Linked DNA regions of Drosophila melanogaster. The protein of the gene in region 1 interacts with the protein of each later gene in a pairwise test. Each region holds a gene or a part of one and is shown on either strand. Other genes may lie near its edges.

Region 1 (5,685 bases):
ACATATGCTTAAAGACAAAACAATCAACTCTATGAATATATATATTTAAACATAGTGGTGAACAAATTATGTTACAAAATTGCAAAGTTTTGCTGTCTGTAAATACACGAAGTATCAATATGGATCTTAAACTTAAGCGTGCGCATAAACGTGGTATTGTCCTTGGTCTCTAGAGCCAAAGTTACAGTATTCTCCAATCTTCCTCTTCCGCACGGATCGCGAAAGCCCCGCGATCCATCAGTTATGCTATATACATATATATATATATATATATGTACCGTAATCGATTATACTTTAGCCAAATCATATCATTAGCCGCCTCTCACTAATCCCATAGACAAATTGTTTCCTGCTAAGCTTTAAGGCAGAAAGCGCCAAACAAAAACAAAAACTCGCTTACGACTACCTAAAACATAGATAATGACAAATATATATATACATACATACATACATATATATACACTCAGATCGGGACTTGACTTCACTGTGGGGCCCTTTGAGAGGGCACAACAAACGAAACACAAACGGAAATTGAAGGCAATCTAGTTAGGGATATAGTATACTATACCAACTAAATTCAAACTAACAAACAAAATATTAAAATATTATGTGAATATCTACCAGACAACTACGATCATACATAAAGTAAATATATATATATATAAATATATATTTATGGTAAAGGAATTTAACTAGTTCGTACAGAAAATATTAAGAGATTGTATGACAGCAAGAAGTGGTCCTAAGTTCAGATCTATTGGGATCGGTAGTTTAAGGAATTGTCAGGGAACACGAGCACGGACGACGGAGAGTTTTGGATTAACGGGGACTCTGGAGAGCAATAAGTATGTGTATGTGTATGTAGTTTGTAAAAGGAGATCGGCGTACATCCAAAATACACACATACACACACATATATATATATATATATCTGAAAATATATATAAAAAATATAACTATTTTTTTGTTAGCTGGCTCTGGATGTTAACCACAAATAAAGCCCAGCACCCATATATATATATATATACATACCTCTTTAGCCGTGTATATATGTATATGATCGATTGTATTTTTCAAAGTTCAAAGCGAGAAATAAAAAAAAATAAAAACAATATGGCAATGTTGTAAGTGATAAGAAATGGGCCCCCAGCTGGGCCTTTCAAACTGCGTCACTACGCTGGAAATGTTGTTCATTGTTCACTATATCGTTAGCTTAACCTAATCTAGACATGATGGTGCCCTAAAAAAAAAAAAACTAGAAATCATATTGAGATAATGGCTTTATGCTGTCGTTCCGTTCTCATCCCGTGGCAAGATCCGAAGTCGAATGCCATTTCCACTTTTAGTCACCAATTCGGCCAACGGCTTTGGCTGATGATCCTTGTCGGGCAGGAAGCGATAGCTTCTCAGGAGCATCGCTAGCGACGTCTTCAACTCCAACATGGCAAACTTTTGACCTGAAAGCAAACAAACAAGTTAAACTAGAGTCATATGAACAAACAACTAAGTAAGTAATAAAATCCCCATAAAGCCTTTGCTGACGTCATTTAGTTTTTGGGCGCTTCTTTAAAATAATCTTTAGCTGCATTGTGTTTTCATAAATGTTCAGCTCATGTTTATGAACTTTAGTCTGTGAGTGATGTGCATTGTGAAATAATCTTGGCATTATCAACAATTAATTTATAAATATATTTTCAGTTCTCTAATAATAAATGAACCTATTTTAAAGTGTGTGATCTTCTTGTGAACAAGGCAACCGAAAGCTTTTCGTTCTTATCAATTGTTTAAATTAAGAAATTTTTTTTTGGAAAGCAATTCGAATGACCTTCGGTCCTTATATATTACAAATATGAAATCGCAATTTCTAATAAGTATTTTCGGGTTCTGTGACCTCAAGGATGTGATTTTATCTGCTGATTGTTATATTTCGGTTATACTCTTTAAAGTTTTAAGAAGATCGCAGGTTAATTTGGATTCAATTTCAATTTTAAAACAAACTTTTTAAGTTAGATAATAGATAACTGGGTAAGTGCCTAGATGATCTTACCTATGCAATTTCTGGGTCCCGCACTGAAAGCGGCGAAGGCAAACGGATGCATTTGCTTCTCGTTGACCAGGAAGCGATCGGGATCGAATCGCTCCGGATCGGGGAAGTTCTTGGGATCACGATGGAGCATGTAGATGAGGCAGCTTATCGAGGCGCCCTTGGGCACCGTCAATTTGCCCACCTCCAGATCCTCGAGAACTTTCCTCGAGAAGAACGGCACCGAGGGGTAGATGCGCAGCGTCTCCTTGATCACCGCCTCCAGATACGGCATCGATTCCTTCTCCCTGCCCTCCAGTTCGCTGGCCTCCTCGAAGGCGCGCTGCTGTACATCCGGATTTTTAGACAGCAAACTCAGTGCAAAAGCGATGGCCGAACTGGTGGTGTCGTGACCCTCGAACATGAAGGTGTCCACTTCTTCGCGAATATCGGTATCGCTCAGCTCCGCACCGCCCTCCATTTGGGTGAGCAGCAGCATGTCGAGGAAGGCCAGTCGCCGCTTGGCGCCCACATCGTCCTGCTCCGCTTCTGGTTTCCATTCGTTGCGCTCCTGGATGAGCTGCTCACGACGCAGCCGGATCACCCGATTGGTCTCGTCGTGGAGCACCTTTAGAGCTGCCTCCCGTTCCTTTCCGGGCTTTGTGTGCTTAAAGAACACGTTGAGTCGCTGCCAGAAGGAGAAGCTCTGCTTGTGCATCACACGGCAAATACTGTGGTTGGGAGTTAAATAAAAAATATGATTTTTAATGAAATCATGTAACAGTTTTTAATACTTACGATTGAACAGCCTGCACATATTCGGAGTCGCTCTGCAGCTGGGCGTGCTTCTTGATGCCCATGGCCGTTTCGCAGATGGCGTCCAGGGCGAATAGGGTAATATAAGGATAGATGTCGAAGGATTCGCCATTGGCCTTGGTCCTCAGACGACGCACCAGGATGCGGCAATTCTCCTCCATTGGCTCCTTGAACTCGCTAAGGATGCGGAAATGGAAGCCCGGAGTGAGGAGCTTTCGGCGACGATGCCAGGACTCGCCGCCATTCGTGAGCAGACCCTTGCCCAGCCAGGGCTCGAGCAGCTCGTAGTTTCGCGACTTGGTCAGCAACTGATTGTTGCCGAGCAGCTGCTTAATGTCCTCCGGATCCGTGAACATAACCATCAGATCCTTGCCAAACCAGATGCGGAATACCGGACCATGCTTCTCCCTCAGTTCCTTTAGCCAGTTAAGGATCTCTGGGTAACGAAAAAAGGTAAGTGACTTTAGTTATTAGTTATTAAATGAAAACTGAAATGAGCAGCAGTTAAAAAAGTCATTAATTTAACTTCTAATTGTTGTTAGCTAAATCATAAAGCACACATAATATTACGAAAGATACGATTACAAAAAGATAGCACGACCTTATAAGTTATGCCAATTGCATGCGAGTAGAATTATACCAGCGAGGGCAACGCTGCGTATGCGTGATAAAATGTAGAACCATTTCATGGGTATTAAATTCACTTAATCAATTCTCTTTGCACAAACTCACCGCCTTTCTTAACATTGGCAATCAGTTCGCCAATCGTGGGACCCGGCAGAGTTTTCGCAAATCTCTGAAGTCTCAGAAAATTCAGAATCTTGGGTAGGTAGCGTAGAAAAGCTGCCCAAAGGACGAAAGCCACCAGTGCCAATGTGCTCATTTCGCCACCGATTTTAGTCCACTACTGGCTCAACGACCCCAAAAAAACGATGGCTATATAAATCAAGTGAAAGCTTGGTAAAATGTGATGAGCTCGCGATATTGGACGACTTGCTGGCGAACTTAAAGTTTGTGCGAACTGCTCGACGTCGCGGCTCGTTTACAACTAATTCGCACTCGGAACGCAGCTGTCTGATTTGTGCGGTGTATGTGGTATATGGTCTGAGCTCTGGGTCTCAACAGATAGCAGATCGCCAAGGTGGGGCACTCTGGATGCCCTCCGATTGGCGATAGGCGGATAGGCGGCCACCAGGTTTATGAGAACGGAATTATGAATCGAACGGATCGTGATTCCGAAAATATGTAGCATCACTTGGGCCTGTAGCATTTATAGATTAATAGTTTATAATTATTCCTACTATCTTAATTGAACCGGTATTAATTTAGTTTTCTTCGAATACCATTTTGCAAGTTCTCTTTTCTTCTCTTTTAGGCATTCTTTTTCTTTTCTCAGATCAGACCACTTTTTGACCTACAAACAGCTACAAAATATTGCGTAGGCAATCTGATTAATTGTTCAAAGTACGCCCAAAACCACTTTGGTCATAAACAAAAACTTACGTGCTCGAAACTATATGATGACATATTAAGCGGGGAATTTTAGAGTGAAAAAAAGGTACATTTTAAATATGTGCTAAAATGATAAATATTACTGTTTACTATTAAGTTTACGTTGGTATACGAGTATGTAGCCTAAACCCTTCAAATGCATATTTCAATTTAATAAAAAGTATTCAAAGGTATGCATACGATCGAACAGGTGTAGCGAACCGCTCGCCAAATTGAGGATCCTATGGCGGTGGACGACGGAACGTGTCAGGGGCTATCATTGCATCAGTGCAGTGTCAGACCCAAAAACGAGTTCTATTACAGCGAATCATCGTACGAACGGCAGATATGTGATAGGCGTTGACCCACTTAGAACATGTGGATTTCTTTTAAGTAGTTATAGTAAAACTGCTCTTAAGAACTGGTTCTTTTTCTTCACGATAAAGAAATCTTATCATTTTGTCTTAAGGTGGAAAACAACTTAATCATTAGGAGTAGTAATGTTAGTGAGAGCAAAGTTCATGGTTAGGTAAACTGAAATTGGTTTGTGTACCAAAATATAAAAGAATATAATTATATAACTATATCTTCCTTTTTTCCGGCATATCTTATCTTGTGAAACTTTACAATCAGGTAATATTGCAACTATAAAACTGAAAGTTCACAAGGTTTTTTTTATTGCCTTAGTAACTTAAGCTAACTAAGACCACACACCTGGCAATCCAAGCTAATCAATGTAATTAACTGAATTTGATAGTTTAACCTAGGGGCTGACTGATTACTGGCTGATCAATTAATCTGTTTATATTATTATTTCAATAAGTTGCATTGTTCTTATCACAACTATTTCCTAGTTTTTTTTTTTTACATAAAGCTTATCATTCGCGGATGGCATTTGTTTAGATTTATGTTATGTGCACTTGAGCAAAAATGGTTGATAAGTTATTACTTTATTTATAATAATTAAGAAAAATATATTGGTATTCATTAGTTTAATGTGCATGTTAAGCTTGCTAAATTTGCATTCCCTAAAAGCTTTTTGGATTTTTTAGATTATTTTGAATACTTTTAGGCTGTGACAGTGAGCATAGCTAAGTAAATCTAAGCTTTTTCTAATACAAAAAAATAAGTGTATTTAAAATGTACTAGAATTGTAATATAATTGTAAGTAATATTTACCTTTAGGCCAAAAGCTACATATGCTTTTATTTGTATTTCTTAGTGTTAATGAAAACACATTAAAATTTAGTAAATAATACAGTAAGAGTGATAAGATTTATAAAAGCTGTTGGCTTATATTTTAAATTCGAACCTTTAGCTTGGGCATGTTTTTCTGGCACATTCCCAATGCCCAT
Region 2 (5,094 bases), on another chromosome or scaffold:
ACTTAAGTCGGGCCAATCGCCATTTATTAGGCTACTGATATACTGATATGGATGGTGAGTTATGTGCGCTGTGAGGGAAATCCATTTGATTAGTTATTGAAACTCTTTTAATTAAGTCTTTACAATTATGGGTAAGTCAGAAAGTTTCCCACTTGGATTATGCTTGCAGTTAGCTGAAGAACATGCGTAAATACCCTTGAATCTGAAGCATGGGAAAACGGCATGGAAAATACTCAGTTTTGTTTGTGACTACTTGTAATAAGTAGGTAAAAGTAGAAGATTGCACAAATTAACGGCAAGCAAGCTTAACAGACTGCAGTTGCAATTGTGTTGCTGCTGCACTTGCTGCAGTTGTAGTGGCTGCTGCAGTTGCTGTTGCGAGTTCAGTCACCTCGTCTTGCGCCCATAGAAATGACTATGATTAAAGCAGCATTCGCGGATACAACAAACAACACAACTTTTAAACTATCCGCATTAAACATGAAATAATGTACTAAACTTTCAATTTACTTATTTGAATCTGTTCAAATAAGTGCTTAAATAAACTTTTATCGAATTACTGGAATCTGCGAAGCGTACAGCTGATCGAATTAATAATGGTAGTGGCCGCAGGTCATTGGAAGGACCATGACTGTTGTTTTTGTCGCAAAAGGACGAATTCGATTGAGTTTACAGACCGATTCAGTTGTTTCTGGCGCTCGAAAGCCGCTTAACTGATTGCAACATTGATGGAAGCACATATCAATTGCCCTCTCAGCCGATGGTTCAAGTGATTTCCCATCACACACTCGTACACCCAATCACTCAACACACATAAACACACACACAAGCACAAGCGGCAATCTTAATGCGCCTGGCAACAACTAAAAGACATCAACAACATCGCGAGCAACAGTTGTGCGAGTGCGAGTGCATGAGTATCTGTATCTGCGTGAGTATCTGTGTGGCGCGCGCCAGTGTGTAGAGTATCTGTGTGCGACGGCTACATAGCAACCGTTTATCATAATTGGCATTAACTGCCAGCCATTCCTCAATTCTTTTCGGCCCGTAGCATTACGTATACGCCGGGATGGCCGATGGCCTGGCATGGCGAAGAGAATTCATTGCCGAGCAGGGGCCTTAATTCGCAGGCTCAGTTCGTTTTCGTTCTTCTTGTTTGTCTGCGAATTACGCCCATGTCGGCGTACTTGATTGTTTCACCGCATGTATTGTACGAGTGTAACAATGGATAGTATCGTGTGTATGGCCGCAAGGACCATGTCATTTGCAGTGCCGAACATTTAACTCGAATGCTGCCCGACAAGCTGCCTAATTAGTGGATGGCCAACTCGAAATAGAACTGGAAAAAGCTGAAGCCGCGAGAAGCGGGTAATGGAAACCGTAAACAAACGCAGCCAGCAAAGTGAACAAATGCCCTCAGCAGTTTACCAAAAACCGCGTGCGAGGCTTCGCCTTCGCAGTGGGGCGGAAAGAGAGGGCGAAACGCTCGGCAAGCGAACACGCCGCCTAATTTAGATTCCCGTGCGGTAGGTCAAGTGCCAATTTCCTCAACTTGAAGTTGTGTGGCAGCAGCAAATCCAATACTGAACGAATTGAATCAGTGTGTCTTCCATTCGATTCTGTTTTCTGTATACGCATCTTGGCCCAGGAACCTGTTGCGCTGACTTGACAGCCCGTCAATCCGCAAAGTCCCTGGCACTGGCCAAAAAATGGGAAAACAGCCGGAATTGGCCAACAACCGCAGGTTTCACATGTGCAATCTGCCAAAGATTTGTGAGGATTTTGTGGGAAGCGATGCTGCAAACCCAATAGCATGAGCTTCTACTCCAGTCGAGAGTTGTGCACTGGGGAAGGGAATGGTTTCTCTATAGATTCAATAGAGAATTCAAATATTCAAAAATAGCCAGTTATTTATGTATGAAGACATTAAGTGGGGCACTGCAGATAAATGCGAGTGGCAACCTATGTTAGGGGAATACCAGCTTAAGGATATATTTTAACCAATTCTAAAGTGCATTTTGTTTCTTGCAGTGCCTTGGGTTTTTTTCCATTACGACAATCCCTAAGGAACATTCCATTTCATCGGAAAAGCCTCTTAGTAACAGTCCTGGCCTCAAAGGACATTTGCAAATGTATTGGGGAAAACTGGAGTACTGTATAGATGGAACCTTTCTTACTTACCCTTTGTTCGCCGGACTAACAGTCTCTACATTTGCTTGATAGCGATGTTTGTAATCTCCTTTAATTTCGGTTCATTTGCCCGAGGGGCACACAGCTACTTTCTTGTGGTGTTTGTCTTTACAATCGCAGATAGAGCGCTTCTTTCGCTCGCGTTTTTGATAACACAGAACATATATGATGTAGTAACTAATTGCTGGAAATCGGCGAAGGGCTCCGAAACTTAAGACACGAAAACTGTGGATAAAATGTATTGTTTTGATCAGAGGAAACGAAGAAAGTTGGTACTCGATTTTCGTCCGTTTTCGTTTATAATTTAATTTACGCGCTCACTAATTATGTAATGCCCTCTCCCCTAATACCCCGAAAAAACCGAAGAACCGATTGCATTTGGCGCGAAAATAGACAACGGCAAGCGCAGAGATAACAATAATAGTTTATATTTAAATTTGAACAACAACGGCGGTCAGCATCGTTTAATTTGTTTACGCGGCTCGAGCTCGTTATTATTCGACTATGAGGCCAATCTAATTTATGCTCCGCCGCCTTGTTGTTGTCTCAGTTTTGGGTTTGATTTGGTTTGGTTTGCTTTAGTGCCACTCTGACTGGGCTGCTTTGCAGGAGATTTCTGTAGTAATTTTCCATGCAATAACAATGATTTTCGCTTTTTTATTTTTCTCTATTTTTCTTATTTTTTTAATTTTTGGCGCTATCTACATTTCTTGTTTTGCGCCGCCTGCAGTTGCGTTTGAGCGCGTATCCCCCCGAGGGAAATGGAAATTACCAGAAGTAACAGAAGCAACAGAAGAAACGGAGGCGAGAACGAACCAAAGGGGAATAAAAATAAAAACGGTTATCCGATGTTTTCGGAGCTTCCTGATTTCCCGCGATCTTGCGCTGAGAGTGGGAGCAGATATCGGGCGTCTGTAGCGCGTCTGGATTTCCCGGTCTTCCGCTTTTCTAGCCGGACAACTGAACGCGGCCAGCGACAAACTTCAACTGAAGCAGCTCGACTCGAATCGAATCGCGGCGAAACGAAATGAAACGAATCGCAACGAAACGATACGAAACGAAACAGCTGGTATCGCAGCCCCAAAGCCCCACAGTGCAACAACAACAGCTGACGGGGGCGGAGAGCCGAAGAGAGTGCGCCACACTGCGCGAAAAGTCAAGCACTTAAATCACCAACTAATGCAATGCTAGTTATATGGCCTTTAACAGCGATTTCGTAGCTTAAAAGGATCTGCATGCAAGAAACTTATTTTCATTGTATCTAATTATACCTTTGCGTTTAATAATTTAAAGGAGAACTTCTTTAGATTTCAATTATTTGTTTTCTGTGTAAGCTTATTACGAGCAACGAGCGAGAGAGCAAGTGTGTGGGACAGAAAGAGCAGGCAAAGCAGCAACAGGCAGAGGCAGAAGCAGTCTGACCATTTTCCTGAGGGGCTGGGGGTGGGGAGAGTTGCTCTGTAGGCGCAGGAGAGACGGTCGCTATGACTCTTTGTTGCACCTACTTTGTTGCCGTTGCCAAGGGTGAGAGCTAAGCTGCATGCCGAATACGCTACACAAAACAAGATATAGAGACTGTCATATCCGAATTGTTGCTTTTTATAGTTTCTATAATCTATTTATTGAAACTTGTTACAAAAGCGTGCTAACGCACGAAAAGTAGGAGACATATTCCTTCTCAACCTTCTACTTTCTTCTGTAGCGTAGGGTACCCAACTAAACCAATACACCCCGTACAAATGTACAGTTCTTTTCTTCGCCCTGCCTCTCTGCTCCTCCAATTCTTTTTAGTTCAACATATGTGAGGAGCACATGGAGCGACAGCAACACAAACAGCAGCAGCAATAACAATAATAGCAACAATAGCAACAATAACAACAATAACAACAATGACAACGCAGCGACGACGCTCCAAATGATTGAACTTAAATGGCAGAGGCCTAGAAAGCAGGGTGTGCGTGTGTGCGTCGCAGTGTTTGTGGATGCAAATGTGTGCCCGGTTATCAACACTTTTTAGTCGCTAGCCCTCCTATCTCCAACCTACTCCCCCTTTGCCACGCCCCTTTCCCCCTCCCACATTCTATCACCATGCTAGGGCCCAACAAAATAGTCAGCATTTGCGGGCGTTCAAAGCTCAAAGCAAAAGCAAAGAGGCCACAGTCAGCCCTCTGTGTCGTGATCCAATATCTCTGTCCACAATAATCAGCACAAGAGGCGATAGTTTCGAACTCAAATGGGATTAATCCTCACTGGAATACAGCTCAAAACTGTTCGAAACTGCCAGCATGTAGGGATGTAGAGTCACTAAACTGAAAGCTTCTAGCAAGATATCAAATGGTTTTCAACAAAGCATGCTTTGCAAGCAAAAATGGCACTAGCAACTTTACGAACTTAGGTATTAACTACACTTTCACACAGTAGAACCTCCACTGTACCTGAAGCTCGGCAGAAAGACTTCGCAGAGCCATGGAACCCGCCTTGTTTACCCTACAGAGACTTTTTCCGGCTCGAGAGCCTCTGAACTGCCCCGCCTCCGTTTCTTCCGCCCATAGAGCGAGTATCATACGAACTGCAATAAGTGGCGGCGATAAATAAAGTACCCGTCCCCATTTTCATTTTATAGCCAGATCGTGAGACAATAAAATGCAAAGGCAATGAGTGCGCTGCTGGCAAGAGAAATTAATAAGCACTCGAGTGCAAAGTACTGCTCGCCGCTCGCCACTATCACTATCATAGGCCGAATGCTGTTGATTTGCATTACAGCGGCGGAGTGGGGGAAGTCGCTTATCAGCAATGGGAGCCACAGCAGCAGCGGGCTGATAGTGATAACAGCGCCGATACCGAAATACACACGTTGTGTCGGTGTGCGTGGCGTAGATTATTGTTATTATTGATTAATAAACA

The links.
Region 2: the proteins of Cyp4s3 (region 1) and Sesn interact in a two-hybrid assay, tested with the Drosophila melanogaster proteins (one large-scale study listed by BioGRID).

Annotation. Positions count from the first base shown.
Region 1 is NC_004354.4:15,112,651-15,118,335, forward strand, and holds Cyp4s3 (cytochrome P450 4s3), read right to left. Parts: upstream 3,893-5,685; 5' UTR 3,723-3,892; coding exon 3,572-3,722; intron 3,276-3,571; coding exon 2,822-3,275; intron 2,755-2,821; coding exon 2,048-2,754; intron 1,458-2,047; coding exon 1,282-1,457; 3' UTR 652-1,281; downstream 1-651. UniProt on the Drosophila melanogaster protein: May be involved in the metabolism of insect hormones and in the breakdown of synthetic insecticides.
Region 2 is NT_033778.4:23,711,987-23,717,080, reverse strand, and holds the start of Sesn (sestrin), read right to left. Parts: upstream 3,182-5,094; 5' UTR 2,963-3,181; intron 2,416-2,962; exon of another isoform or gene 2,401-2,415; 5' UTR 2,182-2,400; intron 1-2,181. UniProt on the Drosophila melanogaster protein: Functions as a negative feedback regulator of mTOR function.